Linked DNA regions of Ovis aries. The protein of the gene in region 3 binds, or shares a complex with, the protein of the main gene of each other region. Links are inferred from orthologs where the notes say so. Each region holds a gene or a part of one and is shown on either strand. Other genes may lie near its edges.

What was found. The genes of interacting proteins can lie anywhere in the genome.
Region 1: the proteins of RAB7A (region 3) and RUBCN are in contact, whole or in part, in a crystal structure (PDB 6WCW), measured with the Homo sapiens proteins. The link is inferred for Ovis aries from reciprocal best matches to the Homo sapiens genes RAB7A and RUBCN. Residues at the interface, in NP_004628.4 of Homo sapiens: Ile41, Gly42, Ala43, Asp44, Trp62, Gln71, Ser72, Leu73, Gly74, Val75, Ala76, Phe77, Arg79, Ser101, Asp104, Glu105, Ile108, Gln109, Ser111; in NP_055502.1 of Homo sapiens: His818, Asn821, Met822, Lys824, Thr825, Arg827, Leu883, Gln885, Ala886, Lys887, Gly888, Phe889, Ile890, Glu892, Gln895, Glu897, Ile900, Pro903, Cys915, Lys916, Arg931, Arg934, Arg938.
Region 2: the proteins of RAB7A (region 3) and RILP are in contact, whole or in part, in a crystal structure (PDB 1YHN), measured with the Homo sapiens proteins. The link is inferred for Ovis aries from reciprocal best matches to the Homo sapiens genes RAB7A and RILP. Residues at the interface, in NP_004628.4 of Homo sapiens: Ser3, Lys6, Leu8, Ile41, Gly42, Ala43, Asp44, Phe45, Leu46, Thr47, Thr58, Trp62, Ser72, Leu73, Val75, Leu182, Tyr183, Asn184, Glu185; in NP_113618.2 of Homo sapiens: Phe248, Glu249, Leu252, Gln253, Arg255, Asn256, Lys259, Ala260, Phe263, Leu264, Glu267, Glu268, Tyr271, Arg274, Glu275.
Region 4: the proteins of RAB7A (region 3) and PDZD8 are in contact, whole or in part, in a crystal structure (PDB 7F6J), measured with the Homo sapiens proteins. The link is inferred for Ovis aries from reciprocal best matches to the Homo sapiens genes RAB7A and PDZD8. Residues at the interface, in NP_004628.4 of Homo sapiens: Lys10, Leu14, Asp16, Ser17, Lys38, Ile41, Gly42, Ala43, Asp44, Phe45, Gln60, Trp62, Gly66, Glu68, Arg69, Phe70, Gln71, Ser72, Leu73, Gly74, Val75, Ala76, Phe77, Tyr78, Arg79, Thr98, Ser101, Trp102, Glu105, Phe106; in NP_776152.1 of Homo sapiens: Ile999, Lys1000, Leu1001, Val1002, Arg1003, Lys1004, Glu1005, Gly1007, Leu1008, Asp1009, Asp1010, Phe1013, Ile1014, Lys1017, Gln1044, Leu1051, Asn1054, Asn1055, Val1058, Leu1077, Leu1084, Gln1085, Thr1088, Ile1092.

Annotation. Positions count from the first base shown.
Region 1 is NC_056054.1:191,231,356-191,235,412, reverse strand, and holds the start of RUBCN (run domain Beclin-1-interacting and cysteine-rich domain-containing protein), read right to left. Parts: upstream 2,805-4,057; 5' UTR 2,605-2,804; coding exon 2,540-2,604; intron 1-2,539.
Region 2 is NC_056064.1:22,644,621-22,648,595, forward strand, and holds the start of RILP (rab-interacting lysosomal protein), read right to left. Parts: upstream 2,805-3,975; 5' UTR 2,744-2,804; coding exon 2,516-2,743; intron 2,443-2,515; coding exon 2,349-2,442; intron 2,261-2,348; coding exon 2,154-2,260; intron 2,066-2,153; coding exon 1,820-2,065; intron 1,553-1,819; coding exon 1,407-1,552; intron 1,023-1,406; coding exon 900-1,022; intron 257-899; coding exon 167-256; intron 1-166. Other genes in the region: PRPF8 (pre-mRNA-processing-splicing factor 8), read right to left, coding at 3,676-3,830. UniProt on the Homo sapiens protein: Rab effector playing a role in late endocytic transport to degradative compartments. Involved in the regulation of lysosomal morphology and distribution.
Region 3 is NC_056072.1:59,079,758-59,083,266, forward strand, and holds the end of RAB7A (ras-related protein Rab-7a), read right to left. Parts: intron 2,509-3,509; coding exon 2,380-2,508; intron 496-2,379; coding exon 400-495; downstream 1-399.
Region 4 is NC_056075.1:37,219,593-37,223,592, forward strand, and holds the start of PDZD8 (PDZ domain-containing protein 8), read right to left. Parts: upstream 2,805-4,000; 5' UTR 2,561-2,804; coding exon 1,686-2,560; intron 1-1,685. UniProt on the Homo sapiens protein: Molecular tethering protein that connects endoplasmic reticulum and mitochondria membranes. PDZD8-dependent endoplasmic reticulum-mitochondria membrane tethering is essential for endoplasmic reticulum-mitochondria Ca(2+) transfer.

The DNA of each region.
Region 1 (4,057 bases), on a different chromosome or scaffold from region 3:
TTGCAACGCAGCGGACTTGAGTTCTACTCCTGGTTGGGGAACTAAGGTTCCACATGCCACCAAGCAACTAAGCTTGTGCCCTGCAACTACTGAGCCCAGGTGCCACAACTAGAGAGTCTGTGCATCACAATGAAAGATCCCATTTGCCCCAACTAAGACTGGATGCAGTCAAATTAAAAAAAAAAAAAAAAAAATTCTGGGCCAACACCCCAGTCCCCAGTTTGTTCAATTTGGATAGAGAAACCATGGAAGGAGGAAGCACAAGCAATAATATCATTGCAAACAGCAACTGGAAGAACACATGCTCATCTTATTTCAAGAAAACTGGGGAGGGGAAGGAAGTAGACATTTTCTGCCTTCAGTACATATCAGCACTCTCTGAGGAGCTTTTTTCACATTATCTTACTGAATCCTCACCAGTCAGGAAGGCATCATTCTTCCCATTCAGGCTGGATAAGTCAAGTTAAGCAGTAGAGCTAGAATTCAAATGCAGCTCTACCTGGCTATAAACTTATGCACATTTCACTCCATCAACTGGTTTCAGAATATAATTTTATCTTTCATATATTTTAAAAAATGATGCCATCTCATCAAGAAGATGTCTTCTGAATTGGGTGTTTTATTGGCCAAAGAAAGGTTAAGTTTGCAGTGATCCAGCCACAGTGCCTCAATTCTCAGGCACAAGTCATGTATTTCATTTACCATTTGACTACCCAGAACTAAAGAGGCCATCGGTGCCACGAAGTCCCATTAAATAAATTATTCTAAGTTCACTAATCACCAACAGAGAGTAGGCTATGTTAACATTAAGAGTGATTTCATGAGGATAATCCCAATGCTGAAATTAAGTTTTGACTAAAGTTCATTGGTAAAGAAGCAAGCATGGAAAGAATAACAGAAAAAGATACCTGCAAAGGAGAAGCCTTAGTAACGTTAATGACAGGCAAAGAATGCTACAAAATTTATTACCTTATACATTTCTTTGTCCCAGCAGATTAGAACAGTGAGAGGTAGTATAGCATAGATACCAGAAGTAGAGCCTGCCTGAATCCCAGTCCCACCAAGGATTTACTGTATGACCTTGGCAAATTATTTATCCTGTCTAGGTCTTAGCTGCCTCACCTGTCAAATGGTAATAATATAGTACCTATCTCATCCAGCTGTTATGAGGATTTAATAACACTTGTAAGGCTCTTAAGCAATGCCTGGCATGTAGTAAATAAGTATTTGTTAAATACATTAAATAAATAAATAACTCAGCTGGGAGGAAATCTGAATTTCCAACCTAGCCTCTCCTACATGAACTGGTAGAGGAAAATAAAAATAATCCTAAAATTTGTTTAGAAAGTATATAAGACTTTTTACAAGAAGCATCTGGAGGAAGAATAAAGAGCCAAATATACATAAGCAGAAACTGAAACATGGAAAAGGGAAGTAGGCTCTTCAGTTTCACTGAACACATCATTTACAGATCTCATGCAGTAACCCCAAGTCCTGTCATCCTAGGTTTTGTACAGCAGGCCACAGGCAGGTAAAAGAGGAGTCACTCTTTAAACTAGCCAGGTCTTCACCTATGTACAAAATCTCATTAATTTTCCCCTGTTGATATTTTTTCAGAGATAAATATTTCAGTCTTTGGATTCTAGCTGCTCCGGAGACTCTAACCACATCTGAATGTTTTTAAAAGTCAAGAAGGACTTCCTTAAGCCACATTCCTGCTCTATCCTGTCCATTCCAGATTCTTAAGAGGTTAAGACCAGAGTTATTAATGAAGCAACACCTACACAGAAGTACAGCTGGAGTCCAAGCCAACATTCAGCTTTTGTAATTTCTAGAAGGTAAGAACTTGATAGCAGTTTCATATAAATAAATGGGAAATCGCTCAGCTGCAATGTGGGTAAGGAGTGCCGGGTTTAAATACAGGGAGGTCCTGTCACTGTCTGACAGGGATCCAGCATTGACAAAGGGCACGAACGCAATCGCTAGTCTCATTAGCAAGCCCTCACTCCCATTCCACTGCCTTTACAATCGCCCACTTTCACCCACAGGCCCTCCTTCACGCCTTCCTCCTCACACTCATTTTGCGTAAGCTTCTGTCTAGGCCACTCACAATGCCTAACCTTTGCTCCCAGAAATTCTTACTTCAACCTTCTTAACACTGGCCTGAACCGCTGTCACCGCAAGTTTCGGCCGGGGCACCCACCCTGTCCCCTACTGCTATCTATAGACTCTGGCCTATGAAATCTCACCACAGCACCTCTCAATGTCCACCTCCTCCCCAGAAGCAGCCCTCGGTCTGAATTTTACCCACTGCTGCACGCCCTCCACCGCCCCCCGCCCTCAACATAGCCTATCCTCCCTCCTTCTCTCTCCCTAAGCCCGTTCCCTCGTCCGCCCGATCTAACCTCCCCGTCTCTCGTTTCAGAATTTCTTCCCAAACAAGTCGCCCACAACAGCAGTCCTCCTGTCCGTCTCCTCGTGCTCTGGGAGCCTTCCCGGCTTCAGCGCATCCATCCGCGCGCGACTTCCCCCAGCTCACCTGCTCTCCTCCGGCAAGCCCTCCTCGCAGCCGCCAAGCTCCATTCCCGCGCCCTCTGGCCGCATCCGGGGCTGCGACGTCGCCTCTTAAGAGAGGCGTCCCTGTCGCTTCGCCCCTCAGGGCTCCCAGAGCCCCTCGGGAATCTAGGAGGCACCCACGGCAGGTGGGCTCAGAGTGATGCACTACGGCCGGGTGACGGCAGCAGCATTGATTGCTGCCTCAGCCGCGGTTTCTATCCCTTCCACTCCCCCCTACTTCCGGCTCTGAGAACTACAATTCCCAGCAAGCACTTCGAAGGCCTAGCCGCTACCGGCATGCACCGCCTTATCCAATCCGAAGCTGCGCTCGCCGCAGACTTCAGACCCTGGCTCGTAGCTTTCCCTAGTGCGCCTCACGGGCAGTACGGACCTGAAACGTAAAGCTGCGGTAGTATCCAGAGTTCCTACTGGAGTGGACCCTTACACACGCCTGTCACACTTCACCCTTGGGGCCAAACTCAGTCAGAGGTCTAGACTCGAAAATAACGCTGGTCTTAATCCAAGAACGGTTAACCTCACTTCAGCCTACCCAGGTTTAACATCTGTTGGTGGTGTTTGGGGTCGTCAACAATTTTAATATAGAACTCACAAACTCAGAAGAGCTCAGGTTGCTTTGGTGTCACAAAGGAAGAGCAGAAGGGAAAGGCTTTACGGAAAGATTTCCTGGAGGACTGATGTCAGAGCAATTTTTTAGGATGAGTATGACAACCTAGAGAAAGGAAGAGAAGGTAAAGAGGAAGCACAGACATGAGGAATTTGGTTTGGAAACAGCTGATTCTGAGTAGTAATCAGAGCTGGGAAGAGGTGAGGGACAGAATGGTGTGCGTGAGCAGGCAGACAAGATCATGAAGCCATTCTGAGTTTGGATTTTATCCTGAGAACAATGAGCAAATCAAGAAGTGATTCGATCAAACCTGCTTAGAAAGCTATTTTTTGACAATGTAGAAGAGAATGACAATGTAGGAGAAGTAATGGGTATGTACTATGTTGGAGAGAAGGGATATGAGAAGAGTTTGGGCGTCCCTATAGAGGCCAAGCAGGTAATGCCTGTGAGTGAAGTGAGCCAGTTGTAGGAGAATGGCTGAAACTGAACTGGACTGTCCATACTTCCTCCAAGAAGGAAAGTCTCAGCTATGGTTGAATGTTTGAAAATATTCTGAGTTTCTAGTAAAACTGGAATCTGCCTTTTAAGTAAAATTTCCAATTTTTAAAATATTGGCCACATTTTTTTAAAAAGTGTGAAAGTTGTTTGTTAGTCAGCTAAGTCATATTTTATTCTTGTGACCGCATGAACTATATAGCCTGCAGGGGTCCTCTGTTCACGGGATTTCTCAGGAGGGAATACCAGAGTGGGTTGCCATTTTGTTCTGCAGGGGATCTTCCCAACCCAAGGATGGAACCTGGGCCTTCAGCGCTGCAAGTGGAGTCTTTACCTCTATGCCACCAAGGAGGCCAATGTAAATAATACACAGGCCAAGAA
Region 2 (3,975 bases), on a different chromosome or scaffold from region 3:
AAGGGGACCCAGAGCAAGAAAGGGCAGCACGAGGCAGGGGACGGTAAAGGGGCCACCAGGGGAGCAGGAGGGTACGGGCATGCTGCTCGCTTAGGGCAGCAGGAGGGAAGGTGGGCCCCTCCACCCTCCACCCCCACCACATTTGTCCTTCCCTTCCTCAACATACAAACTCCGTATTCTGGACTCAGGGGCTGGGGGTTCAGAATGGTCTCCCTTATCGCTGGAGAGCAGGAGCCATGAGCCATCATCATCGTCACTGAGGCGGAGAAGAGCAAAGAGAGGAGAGGAGACGTGAGGGTCCTTTATCAAGGCCCTGAGGGCCAAGGGGAGTCCACTACGTTCAGCCTTCTGTGCAGCCCCCAGGAGCAGGAAGGGGAGGACAGAGCGACTTTGGGGCCCGCAAAGCTGGAGTGAAGGAAACTGGATCACTCTGCTGTGCGCCTGAAACTGTCACGCAACACTGTTAATCCACGATACGCCGACATAAAATAAAAAGTTAAAAAAGAAACTGGAGAGAAGGGAAATCTGGGGAGACAGAGGACATCTTAGGGCTTTCATTTTCTAGCCAGATACATGGCAGGCCGTGGACAGGGCCTGCAGCTACAGCCTTACCTTCACCTGCCTGGGAACAAGCAGATGCAGCCAAGACAAGAAACCAAAGAAACTGAAACCGACTGTGGAGAAGCAGAGTCAGGATGCGCAGCGAGCAGGGCAGGCGGGAGCAGCCGTGACCCAGCGAGAAGGCGGTGGGCTCAGCACGGCAGGCTTGTGGGTGGGCGGGGGGGTGACCAGGCCAGGTTAGCAGGTTCCAGAGGTGGCTAAGCTAGGTGACAAGCGCAGTCTGAGGCAATGGGTTCAGAAGGTGACCAGGCTCAGTGGGAATGGAGGCCGGGACTTACCTGCTCTCTGCTTCCTCTGGAGTCCCTAACATTTTGGCCTTGATCTTCTTCCGCTGCTTCTTGACAGCTACCTTCATGGCTCCGAGCAGAAGCCCAGGGACCCGGTGGGCTGTCAGCAGCTCCCTACAGAGGAGGAGGAAGGGCAGAGACAAAGCAGTGGGGATACTAAGAATAGGTCTAGACTCAAGTACCTGTGCATGTTGTTTCCCCTTTTGGGAACACTCTGCCTTGCTAACCCCTCTGCCCCTAAGCTTAGGTGTCACCCCTCCTGGGAGTACTTCCTTGACAGCCGCTGCTGCTGACCCTCAGCACTGGCCCTCCCCGGTATGAAAGAAGATCCAGGAGGGCAGGGACTATGTGACTCCCGTCCTCCAGTGCCCAGCATGGTGCCTGGCACACGACACCATAGATGTATCAACCACTCAAAGAATGAGGCGGGTGAACCGAGGCCAGGGAACAGGTGCGCCTGGCGCCCCCGAGCCTCTGGGCCCTGCCTGGCGCCCTCACCGCTGGAAGTAGGCCAGCTCCTCCTTCAGCAGGAACAAGTTGGCTTTGAGCTCATTCCGCTCCTGAAGGATCTGCTGAACCTCCTCTCGACTGAAGCCGCACTGCCCTGCCTTGGCGGGGAGCCCTGGCGGCAGCGGGGCATCCGCCTGTGGAAGGACAGGCTTGGTCAGTGGCGCCTAGGTTGGACAGGGACGCCTTGGGCAGTGGGCACCTCGGTTGGGCAGGGAGCCTTGGGAGGCCAGGGCGCTACCATGGGTGCCAGGCCGGGGCTCTGGCTGAGTAGGGGAGGAGGCCGGCTGGTGGCGCACACTCGTAACCACCTTCTAGCTAGCCTGTTGGCCCTGCCACGCAGTACGGCAAAACTTTCCCGAGTGCCCACCGAGAGCCGGACCGTTCCCTCATAGGGCACTCACCGGGTCCTCGGGGGTCCCCGGGGCTCTTGTGCCCGCGGTCGCCCGCTCGGACTCCCGCCTCTGCTCGCACTCGGGTCCAGCGGCCTGGCCCTGAACCGGTTCTGGAGGCGGCTCCACGGCCGCTTCGCGCCGCTGCTCTCGTTCGCTCTCGCGGTCCCGCGCAGCGCGTAGCTGGGTTTGTACCGCGGCCAATTTCTGCCGCAACTCCGCATTCACCAGCAGGAGGCGCTGCAGCTGCTCCTGCAACTGTGGGCGGAGCCAAGGGGCTGGTGGGCGGGGCACCTGAGGGCCGGCAGGGTCCCGCCCCCGGCACGTCGCCCCGCCCCGCCCTCACCGCCTCGGTCTCCTGGCTTCGCTGCAGCAGGTCGCGGTTGTACGCCCGGAGTTCGTCCCGCTGGCGGTCGGTCACCTCCTTGAGCTGCCGCAGCAGAGCGCGCTCCTCTGAGGAAGGGGCGTTCTCAGCGGCGGGCCCGCGAGAGGGGGAGCCCTGCGCCGCCCCGACCACGGAGCCCTGCAAGCCCGCACTCACCCTGTGGTCCAGAGCGCAGCTCTCTGCGGAGGCGCTCGTTCTCCTCTCGCAGCCGCCGCAGCTCGAGTTCCGCCTGCTGTGCGGATACCTGCAGCTGGGAAGGCCGCGCTGTTAGGCCAGCCCCCGCTGGCCCAGGCGGGCGGCTGGGGAAGGGCGCCATGACTTACCGAGTCCGGGGCGGGCCCCACGGCAGCCTTTTCCAGGAGCTCCAGCGCCTGCACCACCAGCGGAACGAGTCCGGCTGCGGCCTCCGGCCCGAAGCGGCGCGCCAGCTCCTGCAGCTCAGCGCCCAGGGCCCCCGCTAGGTGGTACACGAGCTCCGCGGCCGTCCCCGATCCCGCGGCCACCCGAGGCCCGGAGCCATGCGCCCCAGGCGCCGCCCTTCTGGGCTCCATGTCCCCCGAAGGCGACCAGGGCTGCGACACCCTCCTCCCCCAACTGAGGCAGGAAAAAGCCAATCAGTCCTGGCCCAGGAAGCGGCTTAGGACAGTAGAGGGCGGGGTAGAAGCGACAAGGGAGGAGCGATTCAGGGAAAAGGCTGTAAGAGTCTCAGGGCCCTGTTAAAGCCCCCAAGGTCACAGGAAGTAGGACATTCCAGCCAGGCGTCCAGGAGCTGAGGCCCAGGGCTGTAAGTGGTCACTTTCGTCAAGCCCTCCCCAGTGTCCACACCAGGCTCCACCCCTGTGTCTAGAGTCATGGGGCCTGACTTGGCTGCCAACTCTCCAGCCCAGAGGTGAGAGGTAGGCGGGCTGTCACTGACCTCAGCCAGCGGCAGCCAACTGTCCAGCCGTGTGCCTATTTCCAGGACAGGCTGAGAGTGACACAAAGCTTAAGGGGCTAAGCTGGGCTCTGCAGCTACAGAGAACAAGCCAGGAGCTTCTACACTCAAAATAGTGACTGCTCCAAGAGATGCTGAAAAGCGGTGAGCGTTTACAAGTATTTGGGGTAAAACTGGCAAATGTGGTCATAGCAGCAGGGGTGTGAAAGCCCAACTTCCCTTCAGCTCACTGAGCTTAGAGGATATTTATCCCCACAGCTCCAAACAGGGGGACTCAAGGCTCAGTCCAGCAGCTTGCAGAGAACATGTCTGGCTTCTGCCATCCCTACATCCAGAATCTGAGCTCAGGGGAAAAAAAGCTTCAAAACCTCCTATTTATACAAAATTTATTATTATACTTTTTCACAATTACAAGTCACCAGGAGGTCAACAACATCACAAGCACAGAAGAGAGAAGAAGGGGCCAAGCTGCTGAATGTCACCAGCTTGTCTGTGGGGCCACAGGCTCTAGCCTTGACCAGAAGGCTGGAGCAAGAGGTGAGGAGACGACTACGCATAGAGGTCCTCTCGGTCCGCAGAGTAGACCTCGCCCTCCTGCAGGAGAGCGAAGTTGAGGAAGTGGGAGGGCCGGTGCACCTCGTGGTAGAACTCTTTGGGATTTGCCAGCTGCAGCTCGTACTTCATGTTGGGATCATGCCGGACACCTTGGAGGAGAAGGAAGAGGCCAACGTTGGCAAGGTCCACCTGCCTCACCCAGCCTGGGTCCCTGGGCCATCTCTAAACCAGAATCTGGGCCCAAGTGCTAAGGGCGGTGGCCTAACCTCATCCCCACTTTCCTGTGCACCCCTG
Region 3 (3,509 bases):
TCAGACTGGGTGTGAGCCTGTGATGGAGCGCAGGGCACCAGCCTTCCCACGTGGTGGCCTTCACAGGAGGGGGTGGGTAAAAAGACCACAAGACGGTTAAAAAAATCAGAACTAATTAGACACAGATTAACTGTAAACAGTTCTCTCTCCAGTGGATGAAAGGAAGAAGCTTCCAGCGCAGACTCCACCCAGGCGGGTGTGCGCCTCCGGCCTTGCTGCTGCCGCGGAGCCCGCGGGGCGGGCGGTGGGTCTGTGGGGCGTGTGCGGGGGTCGGCGGTGTGCTGGGCTCTCCGGGCAGCTGGGCGAGAGATGACTGTCTGTGGGAGGAGGGGCTCGTGGAGGAAGGCCTGCACCTGTGTTCTCGGTCGCGGAGGGCTGTGTGCTCTGCTCTCTGCCTCTTCAGCAGCTGCAGCTCTCGGCCGAGGCCTTGGGGCGGTCGTTCTTGTCCAGTTTGATGGGCTCGGGGAACTCGTTGTACAGCTCCACTTCCGTTTCCTGGGCAGGGAGAGAGGCGGTGACCGCGGGCCCGGGGTGGCTGCAAGTCCTGCGGTGTAGGGGGGCGGGCCCCACAGCGGAGGGGCCAGGCGGGCACCGAGGGACGCTGCGGGGCAGGGGCAAGAGGGACAGGCTGGCGCCCTCCACCTGCACGTGCCCGCTCTGGGAGCTTCTGCCAGTGCCTGACAAGGACAGGGTCTGGGGCCCCAGCCTCACAGACCCCGCGAGCTCGCCCTGCGCGCCCCTCTCTGGACCCAGGTCTGTTGTCTCTTCCAGGCCTTCAGGAGAGCTTGCCCCCAAGGCTGCACATGCCAGGCCCGCCCAGGACAACTCCCTCAGTGTGGGGCCCACAGGACAGGGCCTGGGGTCACTTCACGGGGACTTGGGCTGAATTAGCGTTTCCAGCGAGGGGCAGCTCCCTGCTTCCTAGGGAAGAGAATTCACCTGTGCCTTAGACGCGGAGCACCCGCGGGTCGAGGCCCTCTGGGGAAACCACTCCGGTCACAAGTGCTGTGCAAGCGGCCACGCCCAGGACTGCCTGTAGTTTAAGGCGGTCTCGCTCCCTGAGGGCTGAGCGTGTGCCCCTGCAGCCTGGTCTGCTCACAGGCCCAAGCCATCAGGCCCTTCCCGGCCCCGGAGGCGAGCCGGCTCCAGCAGCAGCGGCCTGTCCCGCCTATTGCTCCAAGCCCTGACCAGCGCTCATCTGCGTTCTGTCTTAATGGAGGCCTCAGCGAGATCGGACCTGTGGCCCCGAAACCGACAGGAAATAAGTGTGTCCTTGAGCCACGCGGCCTGTGGGCACTGTCCAGGGCCCGGTGCTGGCTGACACAGTTAGAACCTCAGGAAGGTTTATTTTTTGTGGGGGTAGGTGGTGGGGAGAGGACGGAGGAGGAAAAAGTTGCACCTGGAGTGAAAGTCTTAGTTCAAATGGATAATGAACCAAACAGAGCCAAGAGAAAAGCCTCGACTAGCGAGGGGAGAGGCCGTGAGGTCAGGACGGCCGTGCAGGGAGCACGTGGGCTGCAGGCGGGGCCCGGCGCAAGGAGAGCGCGACACGGGGGAGCGGGCTCCACAGACGGAATACACACCCACCGGCAGGTTCTTCACTGTGGCCAGAGAGGCTGAGAAGAAGGCCCACCACACACAGCTCAGCCCCACCTCTGCGCACGGCCGAGGCCCGGGCAAGGGCTGCAGGGGCCCCTCTGCAGAGCATGGGCGCTGCGCCAGCGACGCCACCGCGGTGCCGGGACTGAGGGTCACCACTGTCCCCAGGGACAGCCAGGGGCCCCCTTACCAGTCGGACAGTCTTCCTCCTGCGACTCGAGCTCTAGGGGCAGGAGTGTTTAGGGAGGAAAGCACTGCCCTGCTGCTGTGGGGTCAGAGGAGCCCTCACCCGGCACCGGCCAACAGGATGCCGCTGGTATGTGGTGGGGAGGGGGACCATCTGAATAAACACCACAAAGAAAACGCAGGAGAACCTTACCTAAGGAAGATGACTCCTAGAACCTTTTGGGTTAACCTTTATGAGGATTGTTTAGGATAATTCCCAAAGTTGGTGCACCTCACTGAATCTTCACAAACGCCCTGAAAGCGGGCAATCTCATTGTACAGCTCAGACAGGATTTAAAAACCAGACTAGATCCCAAGACGGGCAGCAGAGCTGTGCCTCAAACTCAAGTGTATCTTGAAACAGGAGGAGCACGCCGAGCAGGGCGGCCCCACACGAGGTGGCCTCGATGTGTGCCCCCATGGAGCTGACTTACAGACGGCGGGACGGGGCCGCTCTCAAAGGCCCGCCACCACCTCTGGCTGCACAGGAAGCCCGTGGGGAGAGAAGGTGCGGGCCAAGGCGGCCAGGCCAGGGCTCCGTCCCCGGACACCCACCTGCTTGAGCGCGTTCCGGGCGATCGTCTGGAAGGCCTGCTCCACGTTGATGGCCTCCTTGGCGCTGGTCTCAAAGTAGGGGATGTTGTTTTTGCTGTAGCACCAGGCCTGAGCCCGCTTGGTGGCCACCTGAAGGGGAGGCAGGGTGCAGGTGCCAGGAAGAGCAGGCATCCCAGCGGAAGAACCCCCAGGACCCCCGCCGGCCACCGCCCACCAGCCCCTCGCCAGCTAAGCTCAGTACAGTGGGGCTTTCCCCTCTCAGCCTCCGACCCCGAGCTGCACCTGGAGGCAGCTTGTGAAGGGCGGCGGCAGCCAGCTCGGGAGGAAGTGCCTCCCCTCCGGCCCAGGACAGGTCTCCAGCCCCTCCTGTGACCGCTCAGCACACCTGCCTGGACCCCTGGCCTGATCACACACCCAGGCCCCAGAGCCCCCAACCCAGCCACATCCTGTTTCCTGACTCCCCACCCGAGCCTGTTTTCAGGAACAAGAGAAGAACCAATTCACTTAGGAAAGAGCTGACTGGTCAAAAATAAACTCAGCTATGAGTGAGTGAATGAAGTCTGGTCAGTTGTGTCTGACTCTGCAATCCCATAGGCTGTAGCCTACCAGGCTCCTCCGTCCATGGGATTTTCCAGGCAAGAGTACTGGAGTGGGCTGCCATTTCCTTCTCCAGAGGACCTTCCCGACCCAGGGATTGAACCCGGGTCTCCCGCATTGTAAGCAGACGCTTTACCGTCTGAGCCACCAGGAAAACTCGGCTATGCTTGACGACATCTCTGTCTACACCGACATCTCTGTCTACACTCCCCAGAGATGCTACTGGAAAGGAAGCCAGAGCAGTTTTACTCAAAAGCCCAAAGCACCTCCCGCCCCGCGGGATCTGGGGGGGCCCCGCTGCGGGAGGACGACAGCTGATGGCAACCGAACCCTCCCCCAGGGTCAGAAGCAGAGGCGCCCACAAGCCCGAGTCACGGCTGTGCGGGTGGTGTGGGGGTCTCAGAGGGCCTCCTGGGCCCCAGTCCCCAGGGGCAGCCGGCCTGAAGATGGCGCCCCTGTGCACCCCCAGAGCCACGAGGTGCTCAGCACAGACCCTCCGTGTGCACAGGGTACCTCAGAACAGGCGGCCCAGG
Region 4 (4,000 bases), on a different chromosome or scaffold from region 3:
TCCAGGCAAGAACACTGGAGTGGGTTGCCATTTCCTTTTCCAATTCGTGAAAGTGAAGTCGCTCAGCTGCCCCATGGACTGCAGCCTACCAGGCTCCTCCATCCATGGGGTTTTCAGGCAAGAGTACTGGAGTGGGGCGCCATTGCCTTCTCCGTTACCACTGGCTATCCTGCAAATAACCCCCAAATATTAGTAACAGCTTAGTCAAGTCTTTGGCATCTTAAAGCCACTTAGAAAATATTAGAACTGAAGTTGTGAAAACATATCAAAATCTGTAACAACTTTCTCTCATGACTTTCTCAGCCACACACTGCTATAAACACCTCACTGCTTAAACACTGCAATTCATTGAGAATTTAGTCACATATTCCAGAGCTGAAAGAGCAGGCTTCATAAAATATGTTCTACTTCACAGAACAGGAAATCAAGACAGTGATCAGTTCACCATCTTCTGCAAATCTATGGAACTTTTCCATTATAAATTTCTGCCACCTGACTGTTTTAAGCTGTCACTGTGCTATTAGCCTAAACAAACACAATTACTAAGGTAAACCTGCCACATAACACAAGTCAATACTCTGTCCCAAACATAAAACATTCCTGAATTACCTGGGTCATTGATGTTTTAAACTGTGGTAGCAAGTTAGTGATCTAGAAACATGTAACTTCCACTAAAGGGAACTAGGTAAGCCAAATACCAGACTGACATAATTTTATGGTAAAGAACAAAATCCAAAAGGGTTAAACACTTAAAGTAAAATTAAAAATTTATCTGTTTTAGAATGACCACATATGACCCTTCAACACCGACTCTAGCCCCACAAAACTTATTTTCCCCTTCCACTTTTACGATATTAAAAATAAATAAAAACCCAAACCCTTGTACATTAATCAAAATAGTATACTACACAAAAATCAAGCCGCCAAATATAGGTAGGTTTTACAAAGTTAAAATCACTACCCATCTTAAAATACTACCTGTTGGGCAATTTCAGGTACTGTGGGAGGAGCCTACAGCCAAGTAGAGTTGAAAGGTCACGGGGCAGCCTGGGGTTGTGCTACAGAATTTACCCTAGACGACATTAACACAAAAGGTACAGAGAAGTACAAGATGTATAGGCTCCCAACTCGTTTTCAATTTGCAGTGGAAAAGTATTCCTTTCCGATAGATGCTGCCTCTGCCTTGAAAGTTGCCAAAGCACCCACGGCAAAACTGGCCTGCGGTTGCAAAATACAACAGCTCTGGGCTCCCAGCACACTCCTCATGCCTGTACTTGGTATCCGCGAACAATTTCTCAGTGTGGCCGAGGCGATGCTGCAAGGCTGCCCTCAATGCAGCAACCACCTAGAGAAATAGTTTCTCAACAGTCCCAGAGCCGTCCGGGGAAGGAGGGACTTCCCTTCCATTTTCAATATGCTGCTTCGACCCGCGCTGACAGCACCGTGGATGACCAAGAGCACACGGAAAGGCTTCCAGCTCCTTATTAATGCCCTTCGGAAGCAAAGAATGTGGGCACTTAATCGAGGGCCCCGTCCAGGGTGGGGAAGAGCCCTGGAAAGCAGGGGCTGTATAAGTCTTTGCCCTTCCCACCCAACGACGGAGGCAGTGCCCTGCCAGGCTCAGGGTCCCAGCAGCCAGGGGGCCCTAGCGCCCGGGCGACCTTCCCCCGCAACCTTCCTCTCACCTGATCTTGTAACTCGGAAGGGTGTGCTTGCGCTTGATGATCTTCTTGAGCTGGTTGACGATGAAGGAGGTGAGCTGGGGCAGGGGCCGCCCTTCGAACTGGGAGCGCACCTCGAAGTCGATCAGCGGGTCCTCCACGAAGGAGAAGAACCAGTGGGTGAAGGGCACGCGGGTGAGGACGAAGCGCAGCCTCCCCACCACCCGTGAGAGCTTGACGAACAGGTAAGCGGACTTGCCGAAGACCAAGTCCACGTCGATGGCCAGGTGGAAGCCCCCGTTGTACTCCACCTCCGCTTCGAAGGCCAGCTCCTCGGGGGTGGTGGCGGGGGGCAGCGCCTCCCCCTCGGGGCCGTCGGGCTCCCCGGTGGCCGAGGGCGCCACGGGCCGGAGGAGCCGGATGGTCTTGATGAAGGGCACGGTCTCGCCCAGGAACACCTCCCGCAGGCTCAGTCCCTCCAGCAGGCGCCCAGCCGTCTTGGTCTGCAGCAGCTCCTCGAACTCCACCTTGATCTTCTTGGTGACCCAGCGGCGGGCCAGTGCGGTGTCCCGCAGCTCCCGGAACAAGAACAGGATGATGGCGTTGAGGAAGTAGCAGGTCTCCCGCGTCGGCGGGACGGGGGTCTCGGGGGCAGGGGTCGCGCCGCCCTCGGGGGGCCCGCCAGAGGGCTCCTCAGCCCCGCCGCCGCCGCCGCCATAAAGGTACTCTCTCAGGGGCAGGCCCGGCACCGGCTTGATGTAGCGGAAGCCGTCGGCCGCGCGGGCGGCCTCGTCCGGCGGCGGCTCGGGCTGTTTGCGGTAGAGCAGCAGGAACTGGGTGAGCAGCGTGAGGAAGGAGCCCAGCACGGCCGACGCCAGGATCATGAGAAGCAGCCCCATCCCGCCGCCGCCGCCGCCGCCGCCTCCGCCCGGGACGCCCGGGCCCTTGCCCCAGCGCCCACAGCGCCGCTTTCTTCACGCCGCCCTCCCCGCTGCCTCCATCTTGAGGACATCGGGCGGCGGGGGTCGGAGCAAGCGGCACGCTGGGCCTCGTCCGGCGGCTCCGGACCGCGCGATGCGGCGCCCGAGCCTGCGGCGGCCCCGCGCCCCCTCAGACACTCCCGGAGGCGGCTGCCGTGGTGGCGGCGGAGGCGGCGGCGGAGGCGGGAGGGGGCGGAACGGCGCCTCCCTCCGACCGCCGCTCATTGGACGAGCGGCGCCTGACGTCAGGAGCGTACTCGCTCCCGGCGGCGTCGCCTGGCAGCCGGCGCCCGAGCATGCGTACGCGGGTCCTTCTTCACCTCTCAGGCGCCCTTCCAGCCCCGCCCCCCACGGCAACATTCTAGTCCCCCGCAGTCCACGTGGCTGTCACTTCGGAAGCCGCTGTCCGGATCTAGGGGGATAACTGGGGCCACCGGCTGGAGGAGAAGAGGCCGGGCGGAGAGGGCGTGGCGGCGTGTTCTTGATCCCGGTCATCCCGTTATCTTCTAATGCGCCCATCCCCCTTCATTGGCCTCGATCCCTGTCTGTTACCTCTGCTGCAGTGTGATTCTTCCACTCGCGCCCCTGAGAATGGGCTGGCGGCTTTCCATGCAGGGCCGCGCCGCAGAAGATCTGAGCTAGCGGTTCGGAGACTTTCCAAGCCGAGGACAAGATTGCATTGCCTCGGAGACTGCCGTAACCGACCATCAGCCTGACCAACACGCTCTGCGTCCGCAGAGGGTGGGCCCTGGGAAGGAGGGACAAACCAAAAAAAAAAGCTTCAGATGCGAACTAACCTAGATAGATATTTGAGATTTAAACCAGAAGGACAGAAAAGAACCGCTACAAGGAATGAATGAGGAGTGAGATGAACTTGCTAGATGATTGGAAGATGAATAGTCACCGTCAAGCTCTTGGAGTGCGTTAAGCCCCTGAGTGTATTGCCACATTTAGTCCATTTAAGAGACAGTTTTAGTTAGCCATCAGTTTTAGTTAGCCAGCATCCGTTTTACAAATGCAGACGCTGGCACAGAGGCAAAGGAAGTTGCTGGGTTACACAATGGAGCCTGGTTTGTCTAAAACTAAACCCTAAGTCCTCGGTCACCACTCTGCACTAGGACAACAAGATGGCTAGAGTTGGAAGGGGGCTGATTGGTTCTCTGGGGCACAGGAAGGGGGAGTTGGGAAAGAGGGAGGGGGAGGTGAGGAAAGACTTTAGGAAATTTTGCACAGGGTAGCCCCTTGAGGAAAGCCATAGAGTTAATGAAGCCAGGTTGCCCAGCAACAATGTTACTCCCCCTGCCCTCTGGTTACATCATAAATGCTTTTGTGCTCCAACCACAGGGACAACACAAAGAT